Linked DNA regions of Yarrowia lipolytica. The protein of the gene in region 1 interacts with the protein of each later gene in a biochemical or structural test. Links are inferred from orthologs where the notes say so. Each region holds a gene or a part of one and is shown on either strand. Other genes may lie near its edges.

Region 1 (10,025 bases):
CACACGAGAGAGGTGCAGGAGGAACATATCTCACCCAAGACTGAGACATGGGCCCATGTTGGCGCACTCGCAGCGTGTTTTACTCTTTTACTCTGTTGTTCTACCCCCATATGGAAGTGGTTGCATGAGACATAGTGTAAACATGTGAAGATACAACCACTGCACTTCAGGCGATGGTGTATTGCAACAGCTGGTTGCCTGGGACCCTTTTTTCGGAGTGCACAGAGCCGGATAAACAGACAAAAAGAAATACTAGCAGCCATTACTTCTTTTTGTATCGCCCCTTGTCTACCAATATTGAATTCTACTGGCCCCTCTAAACGAGCGTTAAAAAGTGTATCTGAAGCAGCCAGGGTCGATCTACAAGAGTTCGCTGCGGGACGAAAAAGAACAGTCTCTGACCTTTGTCTCGGACAAAACTCGGAGAAATCCAACACCTAAAGTCCACATAACTTCCATCAGTGCTTGTGTGGTGCTGCAAGTAGCTCCGAGACAAATGTGCGGTGAGACCTTGTCTAGTCGATTAACGAGGTGTTCCCGCCATTTGGCCGAGAAATTTTAACGGCGTTGAGTAAGACATGTTTTCGGGTTTGTCGAGTAATTACGGTCTGTCTATGAGTAGACATGAGACATTGGTTTGAGGTGCGACACTGTTACGTACATACTGTATCTATGGTATTCACCGTCCAAGTACACACGGACCGCTTGTACGAGACTACAGATCGCCTTAGATCCGCCGTTGCTTGTGCACATGAGGAATGTTGCTGCTACGAGATTATGTGTACTTGTATATCATTAATTTAATTCATTTTAATCTCATAAACCTCCATGCCTTCAAGCCTATCATCCTCCTGTGTGAGCAAGATCTACAATCTCCACAGTGGAGACATTCTAGCGAGCATAACGGGTTTAAGCAGTTGAAGGTATTGAAAATTGGGATCACATTTATTCTTTTTGTGTGTTTTTTCTGTTTTTTATTCAATTTTCCAGAAATTGCACTGAATACCGCCATTTTAGTCACTATCTCTCTCTTTCGGTATCTTGCCTAACATTTCCGGTCATGCACTGCGAACCCAAACCACCTTAGGCAACATCACCAAGTGGTACGCGACTACACATCACCACAGCTGCGGGACCATGAACGACTCGTTTATCCGCACTACCAGCATTCTGACAGAGCATTTCGGCTATGCGCCGATTGCTGTGGTCGACGATGTCATCAACGCGGTCAACCAGGTGCTATATACCGTGACCGACGCGATGGAGGACTTTTTGAAAACGCGCCAGGCCCGACACCTTCAAAAAATCGAACAGACCGCCAGAGACGCGTCCGACTACCAGCTACGCGTCGCCGAGCTGCCAACGACTAAGGAAATTGAAATCGGAACCGCCAAGATGGAGACGCTGCTGGAAACCAAGGTAGACGAGAAGTTTGATCTGTTTGAGCTCGACGCGTTGCGAAACGTGTTCAACGTGCCCTCTGAGCTAGTTGAAGGCGGCTGGTTCAAACTGGAGCACCACACGTTTGATGCCAAGAGCGTTTCCAAGGTCAACGAGGACGCAGAACTCGACAGAGAGATTGCCAGGCTGGAACACGAGCTGTTTGGAGGAGAAGAGTCTTTGATGCGACAACAACAACGGCTCAAGCTGGAACTCAACCGACTGAAAAGAATAGAGGCCACGGTCGCACGGTGTGGATCGAGCTTCTCTTTTCTCACAGATAGGAGTTCTGAGGCTAGTAAGTTGTATAGGGATGTTGTTCCCTTGGCGGAGAGTGTGCAGTTCCTGGTTAATTCTACTAGGGGACTTGAACCCCAAGTACGTACGGCCAAGAGGAGACGGATCGACAGAGTCAATCTACCTGCGTCTGCCAGAGATCAGTATCTGGATACAGTCACGAACCAGGCTATTTTGAAGGCTGGCTTGTGGTCTGGACTGGACGATGAGCAGGTGTCTCTAGCTGCTGAGTTCGCAAAGAGGGATCAGAGAGAGCAATATCATAGTGAAGAGCAGGAGCAGGAGCAACAGCAACAACAGCTGAAGGGGCACGAGGGAGTGCAGGAAGGAGAGCAGGAAGGGGAGCAGGAAGGAGAGCAGGAAGGAGAGCAGGAAGGAGAAGAACAGGATGAACAGGATGAACAGGGTGCACAGGACGGACAGGATGCACAGGACGAAGGCCAACTAGAGGGACAGCAAGAGGAACAACAAGGAACTCAGCAAGAGGAGCACCAGCAAGAGAATAACCCACAGCAAGAGAATGTCGCCTCACGAGAAGCACAACAACCAACCACTTCATTGCCATCTCTATCACCACCTCCAGACCCTCCCTCTGAACTGGATCCTGACGAAGACAAGGAGAACAAAGCTCCTCGAAATACAAACACTCAGACGGTTTCCATGGAGGATTTGGCCCAACCTGAACCTATGGCTGAACCTGATGGCGAAGTCGAACCAGAGACAGATCTCCTGGGTTCAGAAGTAGCCCTCTCCTCAGATCCCCTCATCTCGTCAGACTCTTTGGTCCATTCAGAGACTGAAATGGAACTGTTCGAGGTAAGTGTTGATTAGTCCACTGAGTGTCATTCCATAAATACTAACCATGTACACTAATATATACTAACGTTCTTACCGCTTCTGATGTTCTCTCAAAGTGGTTCTAGTCATCTATAAAGAACCCAATCTCACCACACTGGATCTTGCGAGCGCGCCCGCGTCCTGCTTGTCATAACATCATCTAGCTTAACTTATGTTGAGCAGAACTGCACTAGTAACGTACAGCCCTATAAATATCTATATCGTATATCCAATGTGGAACCCGTCTTACAGCTCCATGTCATCGCCAAAGTCGGGCACGTGATCGTCGTCCTCCTGCTTCTTATTCTGCTTGGCCATTCCCGTCAGCTCGTCCTCCTCGTCGTCTTCAAAGTCAACGTCAAAAAAGTCGTCGTCTGAACCCACGATCTGCGCGTAGATCTTCTTGACCTGCTCCACAATGCCGTCATAGGTGATTTCCGTTGGTGCACCTGAGGTCACAATCACAGGACTCTCGTCTCCATCGTTCTTAGCAACATCCTTGATGCTCTCCTCCAGCGGCGGAATCGACGTCTTCTGGTTGTACGACAGCTTGATCAGATACGTCAGCTTCTTCTCGGGTACAAAATCCTTCATGGACTTGCCGAGCTTCACGGACGATAGCACGGGGTCGCCGGACGGCGTGAAAATAACATCCGACTGGTCCACCTGGAACTCAAAGTCCTCGGTCGACTCCCGCAGAATCGATGCCTCCATCTTGGACAGTGCCTCCTCTAGGTCCCGCTGGCCTGTGGCTCCTCCCTGGACAGTGGAGAGGTACCAGATACATTGACCAGGAGGAACCTGGCCAGACTCGGCACCGTAGCAGATGGCCTGCACAGTCTTAGTGTTGCCGGACGACAGAGAGCCCACGGGGAACACGATGATGGCCGCGTCCTCGCCCTCGGCGAACCACTCCTTGCAGTCCATGTTGACAATTACCGTAAGATGGTTGATCTGGTACTCAGGGTTGGACGAAGGGATCTTGGAGCGCACCTGCTCGGTGATCTGGGCCTCGGACACCACCAGCTTCTCGGACCATCGCACCTTGGAGCCATCGTTGAAGATAGCCGTCTTGGAGTCCACGTCGAGCCCGGTGAGGGTTGCGTTGAGCTTGTATACGGCTCCGCCGACAGCGGCTGATCGACAGAATCCCTGCGACAGCTCGGAGGCAGATCCGTACATGGAGTAAACCACGGGAAACGCGCCGTAGGTCTCGAGGGAGACCAGGTACCGCTTGATACGGTGGAGGGCGACGGGGGTGGCGACATCGTTGGAAGAACACAGGCCAATGGACTGGACCAGCTCATCGATTTGGGTCTGTTCCAGCTGGAACTCCTTGGTCATGAACTCGACAACGGGCTTGTCTCGGTAGGGTCCCCAGACGTTGTAGAGACGTTCCCACTCGACGGTGAACTTGATGAACTTCATGAGCTGACGCTTAACGACGGGCGACATTTGCTGGGACGTGAAGATGTCCTGTTTGGACGCCGGCACCTTTTCGAAGCTGTCGTTTTCGTACGTGTGGAAGTTGGTGAGTGACCGGAACTCCAGATACTTGTAGACCCGGCTCTTGAGCAGCAGTTGCAGCATGTCCGACTTGGCAAACAGCACCCGTGGGGTCAGGTCCACAAAGTACTTTTTGGAGTCCAGGGGTCGGGGCTGGTACAACTTGGCGTTGGAGAAGACGGCGGACTCGTAATTGACCTCGTCCACCCATCTAGGGAGCTCATCGAGATTGAGTACTGCCGACGAGTCACCGTAGATGGAGTTGCGGTCCAGATGAGCCACGTTGGAGCCCTGCCATGCGAGGGCGGCCGCAAGAATTGACTCGACGATGCCCGTGCCACAGATGAGCACGTCGCAAGAGTCTACAAACGCGGGGTCCTCTGCCAGTGGCGGCACAATTGATCCTCGTTTGGATACCGATGATGCTGAGAAAGAAGACATGTGGTGTGAGAGGGGGTTGAGGGGATGTGTGGGAGAGGTGTCTGCGTTATCGAGAGAGGAGGTTTGTGGCGTGTACAGTACTTGTACTGGGACTTGGTTGGCTTCACAGGTGTAGTTGGTGTGCGGGCGCGTTGCTTTTGCGGATGCTGCGGATGTTGCGGATGTTGCGGATGTTGCGGATGTTGCGGATGTTGTTCTGGATGTGTATCTTGTTCCGCTTGTGTCGCTTGTGTGTTTGTGTCGCTTCGTTTCCTTCTGAGGTCCACCTGGCAATAGTACAAACAGATGTCGTGCACTCTTCCAGCGCTCTGGTTCAAAGATGCAGGTGTAGACTTGGAATATGGGGTATGTGCTGCGTATAGAGTTTTAGGAGGCTTGGACAGGGTGCACTAAAGTACGTGCCGAGGGGTCTCTTGGAGGGGATGTGGGGTCATGTGACGTGTCGGGACCCCCGGCAGGGGATAAATTGGCCTTTGGGGGGTTTTATACGGGCCCTAATCGCCTTTCCGACGCCCATCACGTGCCCAATGTCTGTCTCCACCATTTTCTACAGAGAAAAATTTTCACAACTTACTCTTAGTTGAACATAAATTATTGGCCCTTCTCTCCCAGATAGGCTAAATAAGGTGTTGAATTGGGTGTCATGGGAATCGGGTATAGCACGTGTTGCGGGCGGGATTTGGGCGTTGCATTGTCTCAGGGAGCTTGTGGGGGGTTGATTGACTCAAAGTCTGGGTTTTTTCCGCCTCAAATCCCCCCATAAACCCCCATTAAAGCGCTCCCTCGTCTTGTCAGTATCTGCCGTGCCAATCTTAGCTTTCGTCCAGTGCATGACTTATGTGAGCGTGGCGACATTACGAGCTGTGTGTGGATGACAGCTGGAGTGGCGTACGAGTTACGAGGGGAGCGTAGTGACACAGACCGATCTGAACAGTATAAGCAGAGGTCCATTTTCTCTTGCCAGTTCAATTGACCGCCACCTACTGAAACCGTGTTCGCTTCATCTCAACGGTCGTCCTTGTTCTGTTAACAAAGCCCAACAATACAAAGGACAGCCGAGAGATGGGGCCAGGTCATGTGATGATAATCTGCGGGTGGGTTTGCCACCGGGTACGAGCAAGTACAGGTTCGAACCGGACCGATACTGCTGAGTGTGAGTATTGTTTGGTCCATCGACATTGTTTTGACGTGTCATCGTGACTGCACTATGACGTGTGTCGTGTGACAGATTCACGCCTCCCTCGATAACTGCACTATTGTCGACCATTGCTCTCATCTCCAACCTGCCTCTTGCGGCTATTAAATTGCGGGTATATAGTCGGTCCCAACCAACCGACGCAACGTCTCATCTCCAACTTCCCGAAACGGAACTCTGTGAGCCAGCTGCGTTGGTCCTGCCCAACTGGTCTGATGGCGATGATGAGACAAGTGAGCAACTCCGCATTGGGATATTCCGACAGTGTGCTGTGCTTGTATTTGCTGCCAAAGCACCAAAGCACGAGCAATTGCTCCTGTTAGCGTAACCGACTATGAGTATTACTTGGAACGTCAACTAACTTGACTACTTGTCAAGTACGTACAAACTGGTCCGAATGACAGGACAGCAACCAAACCATTCAACACTAGACATAGTATGTACGGTACGAGCACGAGTAACGGTGCTCCTGCCTGTACGCCCACGTACTTGTACCTCGGTCAACGGTAAAACTACCGGCAATTCTCATACGATTGACCGTCTGTAACATTGTTCCGACGCTCCATCGTCGGTGCTTTTTCCGAAAAAGAACCGTCCACACGCACACGCACACGCCCACTGGCATACTTGCTGACGCACCTTCGACGACGTGCAGTTATGACCCAGAATCAGACGACATCCTGGCTCGGCTACGAGTACGGGGCACGCAGCGAAATAGCAACCGAAGGACATTCACACGACACACAGACGCAACAACAGACGTACAGAGCACTGCTGTATGTATCGCAAACGGCATTGCTACGGCCGCCTGTTGCTATCTGTTGCTATCTGTGGCCATCTGTTGCCATCTGTTGCTGCCGTCGCCGCCTGTTGCTGTTATTTTGCTAGATGAAGCACCCTAGAAGCAGGAACAGTTGCACCGGGAACGGCTTTCGGTGCACGTCAACGGCTTTCGGTGCACAACGGCTTTCGGTGCACGTCAACGGCTGCTCTGAGACTCTGCCACCTGCCGTCGTGTACGCTTTAAACACCAAACATGCTACGGTACCTTGACTCCTTCACGTGATGTCTTAGTCGACTCTCTCCCTCTCCAAACAGCAGATGGCCCTGCTTATCGTAGGAAAAAGAAGACCCGGTCACGCAAGGCAACCCAAAGCAATGCATCTACCGGGTGGAAAAAAGCAAGGTGTACAAAGTTAACTGAGCGAGAGACCGTTGAATGTTACGTTGCAGAGTGCAATTCCATCAGCTTGCTTTTTGCGCCTCCTGTTCAAACAGTACATACGGGTCTTCAAACCACAAGCACCAGCACTTGTAGATCAGTTTCCAGTTTGTTTCCCGGTCTAAACCCCATGATAGAGATGATCCGTATACGAGCAGACTCTATACGTCTTGTTTTGGGCTCCTCAACGGCCTGGATGAGACATAGCAAGCGGTACAAGCAGATGAGAGAGTGCAAACCTCAACTTTGCGGGGGACACAAGTTGGAGCTTGTGGGAATAGGCTGGAGGAATAAACGAGGACCAAAAAAGCTAACAAGTGTCCGCACAGTTGCTCAATCGCCTGATTCCCGCTTGGCACGGCAGTCTGGGTTGTGTCTATCACCGAGCAAAAGCACTTCAGAGTTGAGATGCACCGTTGTGACGTAAAAGACAGGAATATCGTACGCATTCCGGGTGGAGGAGCGTGGGTTAAGGTGGAGGTCCCTCGGGCACTCCCCCTAAAGGCCCCCGAACGGCACAAGTGATTGAAATTACCACCACCTCTGTAGCAAAGATATTACCAAACACCGCACTGGCTGTAAACCCGACAAATAGGTGTGGGGACGTGGAGACGCGGGAGCTAAAGAGGTTCTACCTCACGGGATTCGGCGCTAACAACCGTTCGTTGGCTCCGGTCCAGATGTTAATACCGCACCTGTTAATTCCATGGCTATACCGGTGCTAAACGCGTCCCCATAAAAAAGTGGTGTATATCCCTCAACCGACGGTGCTCGCTCGTACTTGCACGCTACAGCTGAGTACAGACCTGTAGTTCTGGAGTCTACAGTCAGACGCAGAGAACATGCTCAGCTGTAGGGAATGAAGAGCCCCGTTTGGGGGGGAGGGGGAGTCCATTCCAGAGACGCACAGCCTCATCCAGGCCAAAAGCTCCTGCCCACCCATTGATAACACTCTATCAACAACATTCAACGCTCTCATAAACATATGGTTTGGTCTTCAAATAGACTTGAGAAACCAACGAGTGCAAGTACACATGTTCAGGGTCAGAGTCAGATGATGGCGGTGGTCTTGAAACTAACCATGATCTCGCACACCTCAGGATCTTCCACTTTGCGTTTCATTTTCGTTTCCACATATTTTTGCTCTCTCTCTAGACATGGAGATCACGAAGATCCTGTTGTTCCATAACTGCAAGGGCGGAGAGGGACGTGTCTGCGGAGATCGTCCGTAGGGGCCCGGTGATCGCTCGACACGTGACCGCGTCGACGGTAATTGCGACTTCCGTTGTTCGTATGGCTTAGCGCTGTTGGATGAGTCGATGGTGCTACTGTAGTGTGCAAGTGTACAGTAGTGTGCTCCGAGATATTGCCACGGCGTAGGTCGGCGAGAAGCCATGGACAATCAAGTTGGAGACCCTCAGGACATATGGTTGACAAGGCAAACTAAACCGCGAGTCATCCGGTGATTCTCGTATCTCTCATCGTTATATCCCCCACTTTAGCCATGATGATCTGTTGGGTCTTTTTGAGACAGTGGGTAACCCAAGGGGTGCTTCTGTTACTCACACCAGTTAGCCCGGGTTACGAGTAGAGCGATTGTGCATACCATGTTAGCCGTGGCAGTTGGTGGTTATCTGGCTTGCACCTGGATAGTGTCTTGACATGCCGCAGCGGGAAAAAAAACAGCCCAAAACCTGACAAGACCGGTATCGTGGAGTGTTTAGCCGTAACTGTTCGGCCCTGTCTTTACCAAGGGGGCTGTGTATCCAAGAATACGAGCACCAGAGTTTGGGCTAGCGGCCAGTATGGTATGGGTCTGGTTATTATCAGGTCCTGTTTCACCCGGTGCACAAGAGAGGTAGCTCATCGTGGGCCTAGTGAGACCGCGGACAGAGTGCGATAGCGATGAGGGGATGTGAGACGGTCCGAAGGGCGATTGTGCTTGTAGGGTTCACTGGACGGCCATGGTAATATGGTCAGGAGCTGATGGATCTGGTCAGATGCAAACACTGGAATACACACAATACACACAATATTGCATGTGTCGCCACATACTCCGTCCTTGATTTCGCTTCTGCTGGCTCACGGGCCAAATATCATTTCCGAGTATCTCTGAACCATCTCGCCGCACCAACGACAATGTAATAAATGAAAAAAAAAAGCAAATGACGACAAATCCTCGTCACAAGCTAGTTAGTTGGTCAGAGTTAGACGCGGATTCTTTGTCAAAATACGACGAGCTTTCGACTTGGGTCTTAGGTTTGCCACCCAGGTACCTTGACTCAGGAATAGACTCAGTCCAGATCCAGTGCCAGTACAGTACGAGTACGACCACGAGTATGAGTACAAGTAGCGGTATGTATGTACTCTACAGACTGAGGCTGCATACGGGGGGGGGGGGGGGGGGGGGGAGTCCACTTACAAAGTACAACATCCGACGCGACAAGTGAATCTGCGCTTTTGTCGCCCGTGACATTGTGAGCCCCCCCCAGACCCCTGTTCATGCTCGGTATTTAAACACCTTCCTTTAGCCGAACCTTGTTTTCTTAGGTCGGCGAAACCGGCCTTTTGCACCTCCGGCTTCTTGTCATACAATGTCGTTCAACGGTCTGACAGACACCGCTGCGGGATGCAGTCTGACAGGTGGGCAGAGGAACGAGGTGGATCTTTTTACTGCAAACACGAATACAAAGGGGACGAGGGGCTGGGGTCACGTGACTGCCACACAACCCGAAAGGGGCTGGAAGGAGGAAGGGGGAAGGGGAAAGGGGATTTGCGGAGCTGGTTGGGACAAGATATTACCCCAGTTATTCCTGGGGGGAGGGAAGAGTTAGTTGGTTATAGTGAGCCGCGTCGGGATAGAAGCTGCACTAATTACTAGGAGTAGCTACTGGTAGTACAAGTAATGAGAGCCAACAGACAAGCCACACTTTTGGTTGCCATTTGGTGACTACAAACACACCACCAGTGATCGCTACATCCTGTCCACCGGTTCTCGTATGGTAGCCCAATGCCAAGAAGTATTAATCGTCTCGGGATTCGGGTAGTCGCGACGGTGGGGTGATACCCTGGTCGCACTGTACGACG
Region 2 (9,017 bases), on another chromosome or scaffold:
AGTAGTCGTTAGTGGAAATGTTTGAAGAACCGCCAGAAAGAACAGGAACACTTTGAAATTCTTGTCTACTCACCCTAATCAAACTGATGCGGCATCTTTCCTTGTGTCTCCCAAACCCGAACCAGCCACTTGCCTCTTTTTTTCTCATATATAACTGGGGGGGGTTGCCATACCAACGCTTGTGGCTAGTGGCTAGAGAGAGAGATAGGATCATGGTGAGATAAGATACACGAAGGCGGCAGTTGAGGTTAACAACACAGCAGCGGATACGATAGTCAACACAGAGACGAACTACACCCTCTCGTTCAAACATGTTGCGAGATTAGCTACACTAATCTAAGAGCAACCTCTCGACATTCTACAGCAAACCGACCATAACAAATCACCCACAAATCCAAACCCTTTGTGTCACACACTGAGTGCGAATCAGCAAAAGAAACTACAGTATCGTACTTGTACACAAAACCGCTGTTTACATTACCTTACATTGCAAGACTGGGAGAGAGCAAAAGCAATCCAAACTCAGCAAAAGAAAACTCAGCAAAGGACACCAAAGCAGCCTAGCGATATTGGAAGCAATTCGAGTGACGATTGTCCTACCGCCGTATTCTTACCGAAAAAAATGTCGTCTCATAGGCCCCTTAATCATCGTACGACGTACCATGTTGGACATGACACCATCTTCAATGGCGCAATGTTTTATGCGGCAACATGAGCCCATTGTGGCTATCTGCGTGGAGACAACTTTATTTACAAAGGCGGTGTCTGTGTGTCTGTAGAGATGTGTAAGAAGTGGGGAAAAGGGATGTTGTCTGCACTGTATGTATGCAAGCATGTGTGTCCCTGTATTTAATTCTTGTTCCTAGACACAGGTGAACAATTGATTTCAATGTGCCTAGTTGCCGTTTTTAGTCTATTTCAACGGCTAACTTTTCTAGCCACAGTTGCGCCACAATTTTCTCATTCTAGCTTTTTGGTTTAGACTCAGCCTGTGGCACAGCGTGGCCCTCCCCGGCACACGGAAGTAAGCATGCGTGTGCAATGCAACCCGGGTGGCTGGAATCCGGTGGCTAGTGTCTAGACAAAGAAACCTTGTGTGCGACATCAGGCCATGTCAACCATACCTCGTGGTCACTCTCAGGTATAAATAGGAAGCCGAATGTGGCTAGTATATCTCCCCATTAAACAACATCACCTGATCTTCCCAATCACTTAAAACAAAACCACAATGCAGCCCTCTCGACCCCAGCTCGCCATCAACCCCTTCATTAAGCACTCCGTCTCTTACCTCCCCCACGGACGAGATTTTGTGCGAACTGCTGGTAACCTCAAGACCCTTGCTCTATGGCTTACCCCCGTTCTGGGCTGGGCTTTTGGTGTCTACGCCTACAAGCGAGTCAAGTTTGACAAGCAGGCCGGTATCTACCAGTCCTTTGGTCACTCCACTTTTGACCCTCGATTCATGAACAAGAAGCCTGAGTCTGCTTAAAATGCTCAACTACATCAAACAACAAATCATTTTGCACTTGATAATCAACCCTCGGAGAAGCTATCAATTCAGAGAACTACGACATTCGACGTTGCAGCCAGCACAACCCATTGATATACACAGAACTCTGGAATCTTACAAAAACGTGACTCTTTTACTCCATCTGCTTGTCTACATTGGTTCTCAATGGCTACTGCCCTGTCTTGTTTCTCTTTTGATTCTTCTCTACCTTGGATCCTTTATCACTATATTTATAAACGTGTCGGTTTTTCTTCTTCTGACATGTTTTGCATTCTAGCAATAAAATTATTACGAAAAAAACTAGTTTCTGTAATCCTTAATTGAGGAGGCTATGGTTGCAGTATATGTAGAACTTCTACTGTACAGTAAGAAATTGTCTTCCACTCAATCTCACCAGTCCGTTTTGGGCTATACCTACTATGTAACTACTGTACATCCACAATTAAAGTATCTGGCTACAGTAAGTTGGGACTGGGACAAAAAGCCAGGTTTGCTCGAATAACTCCAGAGATGCATGCGTGTCGTGTGGTCACGTGTCTTTTACTCTTCCAATCTATCACCTCACAAAACCACGGTCAATTCGGACCGTTATTCTGGCCGTTTCGTGAGCACAAAATGCTGAGGTTAATTGTAGCTTATATCGGTTAGAGTTCTGCTGAATTTGTGGAGGCAAGAAAATGCCCACAAACGACTGTTGCAAGTTATTACTGTACGGTACGTACTGTAGTTGAATATATGGACTTCTTAATGATACTTAGTTACTGTATACTTGTAGTCCTTCCGTTTTTCTCCACGATTTCAGTACAGTACTATTGATTTGCGTGGAGACTTGTCTTGAAGAACTCACATGTTTCATATAATTATCACTACAAGTAGTTGTATTGGAATTACAGTACTTGTAGCTACAGTATATGGTATGGACAAAAATCCCCCTTACAAATCAGATACTATTTGTACATGTTCTGGCATTACCAAAAGTTGTTCTTCAAGAGCATACTGGTTGTCACGCACTGCTCTACTTCTCTCTCTTCATTCACAAGTACACACTTACAAGTAAAGGTACAGTACTCGTAGAAGTAGAACCATCAAGATGGCCGGGACTTATCTTGACGACAGTTTGGTAAAATATAAGGAGCTTAATTCCTCTTCCCCACTTCTCCACTTCTCCACTTTATCATGAATAAGTGTCCCAGAACAGGCCACTTTCAAGGTTAACCTACAGATAAGACCACTAATATCGCACTACTTGTAGAGTGTAACTGTAAAACAAAACGATGGAGTTTTGCCAAGCGTGCTTTTTCTCGGATAACCACACAGTTCGAAACGGGAAGAGTGCGAAACGAATAACTCGGATGTAGCCGCATAGCTCCTAACACCAGCCACATGCATGTGGCACGGGCCGTTTCCCGAAATGGCTCTGCAGCCATCTACCCATACATCATGTTCATCTGCCCTGCTGCACAGATATGCATCCAGACGATTCTCTGCAGTGGTGAGTTACGGGACAGCAGATAAATAGTAACAAAAAGAAATCTATTAAGAATACGACGTGGAAAGGTCCTCTTGGCGATGGCCAGTGTTACTATGGATATGAGTGGGTACATCTAGTATATCAAGATGGGTGGATACAATCTACAGAGTCCGCTTGTTGATACTGTACCTATTTCCACGCATATTAATCCTGCGTTCCAGTCGTTCGACTTCCTTTAACAAATACATCAGGAGCAACATATGAACCTGCATTACAGAAATGGTTCTGGAATTATACAGAAGGCCAATGAGCCAATGAGCTATTGTATGTAGCTGCAGCTCTCTTGGTCTATCACAACTGCCACATGGAGACAAAGAACCGGTAAATCAGATGTACAATATAATGACATGAGAGTGACCGGGTATAGGAAGGATGATGCTATATCAACCCTTCCAACATCACGTGTTCGGCCAACAGTGGTACAAAAATGAGTCGATCGTACCATTTTGTTACAGTAACGTCATAGATCTTACGATATCGGATGTGTTGCTCACGAAGTGCTCCGGTAAGTCAGATAATGTTACCTGACTATGTCTGATATCTTGCGAGATACAGTAGTGATCTGATGATACGAGTTCCTTCATACAATCAGGATGCTACTATGACACTGGCAATGATTTTAATCATACGATTCCGGCGGATAATAATCTGTATCTGGCAATGGAGGTCAATCTGTGCTTGAATCTCAATCTGAGATACGATACTACTGTAATGGCTTCGCGCCTTCGGTTTTACACTTATGCAATGCTGATGTCTCATAATTCATTCATATCCCAGCCCTTACTTGCTCAAATCCTTACCGTTCCAAGGATCCTGCTTGACTCTATGCATAACCTTCTGGGGAAGACAGTAGACAGGGTTCACTTGATCCAGACCATCTGTACCCAGCAGTGACAAGCCACAGAGGCCAAAATTCGTGTGAAATACGTCGGCCACGTCACCCTCTCGATCAGCAATACCTCCATCATCTTCGTCTTGAGCTTTCAAAATGAAATCTCGTAGTTTGTCTCGGTTGATCCAATGCAGCTTCTTCATCATGGCCAGACAAGACAGCACCCACCACGAGTAACACACGTCCGGCAGTTTCTCCGGTCGACCATTGAGTCCTCCCTCTGGCAGTTGCCGTTCACTGAGCCACCAACAGGCCAAATCCCCATCTATCAGATCCAGCTTTCCGGCTATAGTGAGAGCTCCAATGCATGTGAAGGCCTGAGCAGCATGACTCTCTGCTCCGGGAACCATTCCAAAGCCACCATCAAGATTCTGGCAAGCAGCTATCCATTTGGCCATAGCTTCCACGTTCAGTCTATCCAACTTTCCCAGGATAGACAAGCAGTTGAGAGCAATGTACAGGAACCGAGTATCCACCTCGCCGTATTCATCACCCGAGACCTCACCCGTCTCCTGATTGTGCAGCGAGACAATGTAGTCTGCAATCTGGTCGGCATCAATCTTGTCGAGAGCATCCTCAATCAGAAGAATTTGAACAGCCGAAAGCGTGAAAGTGATGTGGGCGTCGTGATTTGGCGCGGCTCCGAACCCTCCATTCGGTTTTTGGCAGTTTAGCACAAATTTGATCACGTCTTCACGAGGAAGAGCCTCTCTGGCATGCATCAGATCAAGGGCATTCAGACCCCAGTAGAGACCATCTGTGTTAGGTGAGGCGAAAATGCAGCTCAAATATACTCACTCAGCCGTAAATGCTCCGTCAGCCAGTAGGCGAGGCTGTCGGTATGATCGTCCAACGTCTGGATATACTTGATATGTTTCTCTTTCAGCAGCGACATGATGTTGGATGAGGGAAATAAGCTCGGTCATCATCATAAGGAGGTGGGACAAAATAGAGTTGGGGAAAGACAGTAGATTACAGGGATACAAATTACAACTCGAGTAAATGCTCATTCATCATACTAATACATATATCATCTTCAAGAAAACTAGAATGATACCGAGAAGTATCTATAGCTTGTATAGACCATCAAGGAAACCGCACACAAGCCGGTCAGCAACTCCAGCGGTCTTGATGGAACCAGCCACACCGTAGAAAGCAGCCGTTCCATCCTCCACCTTGGTATTGCCGGCCTTCTTCATTTCGATAATGCAGCTCTTGAGATCAGAAACCAGATCGTCTACAGCAGCCACAGCAGGCTTGGTGAACGCTACGTGGGCAGCTGGGGGGTTCTGCAGAGTCGACAAGTGCCATCCCTTCTTGCTCATGGCATCAGATAGATCGTAGATGTTGACAGAGTCAGAACCGAAGGCGATAACAGATGCTCGAGGATCTCCAATGATCTGGAGGTCAGGAATCTCCTCGTCCACAGCTTTTCGAAACTTTCGGGCAGCTCCGACAATCTCCTTACAAGACTCCAAGTATCCGTTGTCTCCGACAGATAGCATGGTGGCCCAGCATCCGACCATGATGGCTCCAGGACGAGAGCCAGCAAGAGTGGGAGAGCCGTAGATACCTCCGGTCCAGTCGGGTGCAACAAAGTACTGGTAATGTCGAAGCTCGGGTGTTCTGTACATGATGATAGAAGATCCCTTGGGGGCAAATCCGTACTTGTGGGTGTCACATGAGATGGAAGTGACACCAGGGACTCGAAAATCGAACAGGATCTTGTCGAAGCCAGCTCTCTCAAGGTAAGGGACGATAAAGGAGCCCAGACAAGCATCCACATGCAGGGGGATTTTGTGCTTGAGAGCGATATCAGAGAGGCCCTCGATGTCATCGATAATACCATGGGGGAAGTTGGGGGCAGATCCGACTAGCAGAACGGTGTTTCTGGTAACCATTCGTCGCACAGCCTTCAGATCAACCTTCATAGTCTTCGGATCGACGGGGGCATGTCGCAGCTTCATTCCAAAGTAGTAGGCAGCCTTGTCAAAGCCGGCATGCACAGTGATAGGAGCAATAATCTCGGGATGTGTGACGCCTCGCTCGTTGTAGGCCTTCATCTTGGCGGCCAGAGAAGTCAGCAGGAGAGACTCGGTACCTCCAGATGTAGAGGTTCCGCAAGAGCCCTCAGGGCCATGGAAAAGAGCCAGAACCATAGCAACAACCTCAGACTCCATCTTTCGGACACCCGGGAAGACATCGGGATGAAGCTGGTTCGCCACTGTGAACTGGGAGAATGCCTCGGATTGCAGGTCTGTGAGCTCCTTACCTCCGTGGTAGACAGCTCCACTTACACGACCCTTTTCCCAGAAGGTTCGCTTCATATCGTGGTACTTAGACATCTCAGTGATGACCTCTGTGTTGGTCATACCTTCAGCAGGGAGAGTCCCAAAGATTTGGGTGCCGGGCATTCGGACGATAATGTCGTTCTGGATCTTCTCAATCACAACCCCTGTCTCCTTGTCAATCTTAGCCTTGATGAAGGGAATGTCGAGAATCTTTTTGGTCACTTTTCTGGCATGGAAACGGAATGTGTTTTGAAGTCCATCAGCAAAGATGGTGTGAATAAAAGAAAGGAAGTTGCCAAGGGCTGTGAGAATGACGCTGAGTTAGTATATACATGGCTGGGTTGCTCTAGCTCATCGTTTCCAGATCAAATCACATGAACAGCGAGTAGCTGTTAATTGTATGTCGTAGCTAACATATGATGACTGATATCATGTCCGTGTGCTCCCGGTCGGACGGTCGGATGTACGGCCAAGAGAAGCCTCTGTGAATAATTGCTCCAAGATCTCATGGGTAAAACGTCGTGAGTGTCATGGCGTCAATGGTATCTCTGTAAGATCGCCTTTTACTTGTGTCGTTTTGATTCTCAATGGGACCGTGTATACTCACACAATAAATACCGCATCTCGAAATCTGGGTTAGTAGTACTCAAACAGTCTCATCCTTCGCTTATTCTCACTTTTCATAGGTAGTGGCATTCTGGAAATGCTCAATTACCTCAGCCCTCACGCAGTCGTGCTTCGAATGAAGGTAAGCGACCGGAGAAGCCTGGAACTCGTGGTAGTGCTGATGCAACAGGGCATGGAGCTCGTGGACGCATTTCTGCAGACACTCCAAGTGGGGGATCGCCATTGTTGTGTTTCTGTGGTGTTGGTGTTGGTGTGCAACAAGAGAAGAAATTGTGGGGGTTATAGACAGGTGCACTTGTGTGTCGGATGCTTACTGCCTGTGGTCTGTAGTGAATGTAGCCACTTTAGCTTTCGAAGCTGCATCTAGATATCAGGAGGTGAGATATTAACTCCGGGGAATGCATGGATGCGGTTGTCAGCGGGGTTTATTAAACACACCATTGATGGGCGCCAACGGTTGGGGCTTGGAAGAGATTCTTTCTTAACAGAATTTCCTATATATTGAATGCCTTCCGGCAACTCAAACATCCTTCCTCCCCCTTCTTTGCACTTTATAACTCCTCCACACTGAAATAGCCTCAACACATTCCGTTTAAACTTGCTTAGGCGATCTACTGCGTCTTATTATTATTGGCATCTGAGAGCTAATAGCGAGCGATGATTGAGGTATTAGGAGAGGCCAAACTAAACACAAGTTACGTGAGGCTCTGAAGCTATTTCTATGCCCGCATTATTCGTTTCAGTAGCTCTTTTTCTATCACTTTATCATTCTATAGTTGTATCCTGTTCCCACATTCTCCGCACTTTCGCTTTTAGAGCTAAACTCCGAACGAGTTTTTTATCATTCATGTGAAGGGAAGGTAGGCGGAGGTCAGTATATCGAAGCAGCATGTGGAGTCGCCTGCGTGTTGTTGTTTTTTCCAAAGTCGATTTTTCTGTAAATATCGCCACCATCTTCATCAGCTATTATCTAAACAGAGCTACAAGTAGTGAATAATATCCACAGTTATGGGGATCGAACAGGCAGGAGCTGCAAGAAACTCATAACCTGTGGTTAATAAGTGGCCGATATTTCTTGCTCTCTAGCTGCAAATCTGAACAACCCTGACCTTACAATAGTTTATTCGGGCCTTTCACTCATTGCATAATCCTGCTTTAGCACTCCATATCGCTTTAGTAATCAAATGTATCAATTCTGCACCTCCCAACCTAATTGTCTTCATCACCAACATGGAACTTGTGGATCTGGAGTCGATCAAGACGACGGTGGACTCTTCTTCAGTTCGGGAAGAGGCCGTTGCGGCCCGTCAGCTGTTGGAAAAACAACGTCGAGCTGATATTCTCAAAAAACTGCATGTTCCTACAGACGATAAGGATGTTAGAGCGAAACTACGATCGTTGAATGAGCCCATTACTCTTTTCGCAGAAGACAAAGCTGATCGACGGACCCGTCTGGGTCAGCTAATGGTGGACGAGTTTGATCGGGAAGGTCTGCAGGACGAAGAGAGCGATTCTGACGTTTCTATGGACGACGACGAGTTTTTTACGCCAGGAAGTGAAGAGTTGCTTGATGCAAGGAGGCAGATAACAAACGACAGTATCTTGAGAGCAAGGGACCGACTCACGACACAAAAGCAACAGTCGGAATTGTCCCTGGTGGAGACAGTTAACCTACGACGAGATAAGATGGCCCCTATAGAGCAGTATCAGCTTCTGGGATCACAGTTCGTTTCCACACGTCCAGCAGGGGCCGTGGCTTTTGGAAGCGACTCTATACTGGCTGCATCATCGTGGAACGGCGAGATCAAGCTAATGGATGTACCGAATCTGAATACCAAGGCTGTGTTGAGAGGGCACGTGGATAAAGTAAGTGCTTTGAAATGGGCACGTAATATCTTGCTGAGTGGATGTGGAGAGGGAAAGCTGCTGTTCTGGGATTCCAGCACAGAAGGCAACGAACATACTGCATACAGAACGGTGTCTGAAGCCCACAAGGGCCGTATCGCAGGTCTAGACGTTCATCCAAGCGGGCAGTGGGCTGCTACCGCGTCCTATGACTACACCTGGGCTCTGTGGGACATTGAGAGCGGTACCAAGCTGTTGTCTCAAGAAGGACACTCTAAGGGTGTCCACTCTGTGGCCTTCCACCCGGATGGAGCTCTAGTA

Evidence for each region.
Region 2: the proteins of YALI1_F09177g (region 1) and YALI1_E33302g form a complex in vitro, tested with the Saccharomyces cerevisiae proteins (2 studies listed by BioGRID, with this or other methods). The link is inferred for Yarrowia lipolytica from reciprocal best matches to the Saccharomyces cerevisiae genes MRS6 and BET2.

What each region holds. Positions count from the first base shown.
Region 1 is NC_090775.1:912,265-922,289, reverse strand, and holds YALI1_F09177g (uncharacterized protein), read right to left. Parts: upstream 4,522-10,025; coding exon 2,821-4,521; downstream 1-2,820. Other genes in the region: YALI1_F09211g (uncharacterized protein), read left to right, coding at 1,138-2,568; YALI1_F09161g (uncharacterized protein), read right to left, coding at 5,821-6,048, 6,098-6,151; YALI1_F09155g (uncharacterized protein), read left to right, coding at 6,495-6,585, 6,631-6,657, 6,713-7,365; YALI1_F09137g (uncharacterized protein), read left to right, coding at 8,443-8,487, 8,530-8,841. UniProt on the Saccharomyces cerevisiae protein: Substrate-binding subunit (component A) of the Rab geranylgeranyltransferase (GGTase) complex. Binds unprenylated Rab proteins and presents the substrate peptide to the catalytic component B.
Region 2 is NC_090774.1:3,325,854-3,334,870, reverse strand, and holds YALI1_E33302g (uncharacterized protein), read right to left. Parts: upstream 4,656-9,017; coding exon 3,822-4,655; downstream 1-3,821. Other genes in the region: YALI1_E33337g (uncharacterized protein), read right to left, coding at 747-895, 943-1,105; YALI1_E33336g (uncharacterized protein), read left to right, coding at 1,229-1,489; YALI1_E33285g (uncharacterized protein), read right to left, coding at 5,001-6,347; YALI1_E33278g (uncharacterized protein), read right to left, coding at 6,828-6,855, 6,902-7,074; YALI1_E33268g (uncharacterized protein), read left to right, coding at 8,082-9,017. UniProt on the Saccharomyces cerevisiae protein: Catalyzes the transfer of a geranyl-geranyl moiety from geranyl-geranyl pyrophosphate to proteins having the C-terminal -XCC or -XCXC, where both cysteines may become modified. Acts on YPT1 and SEC4.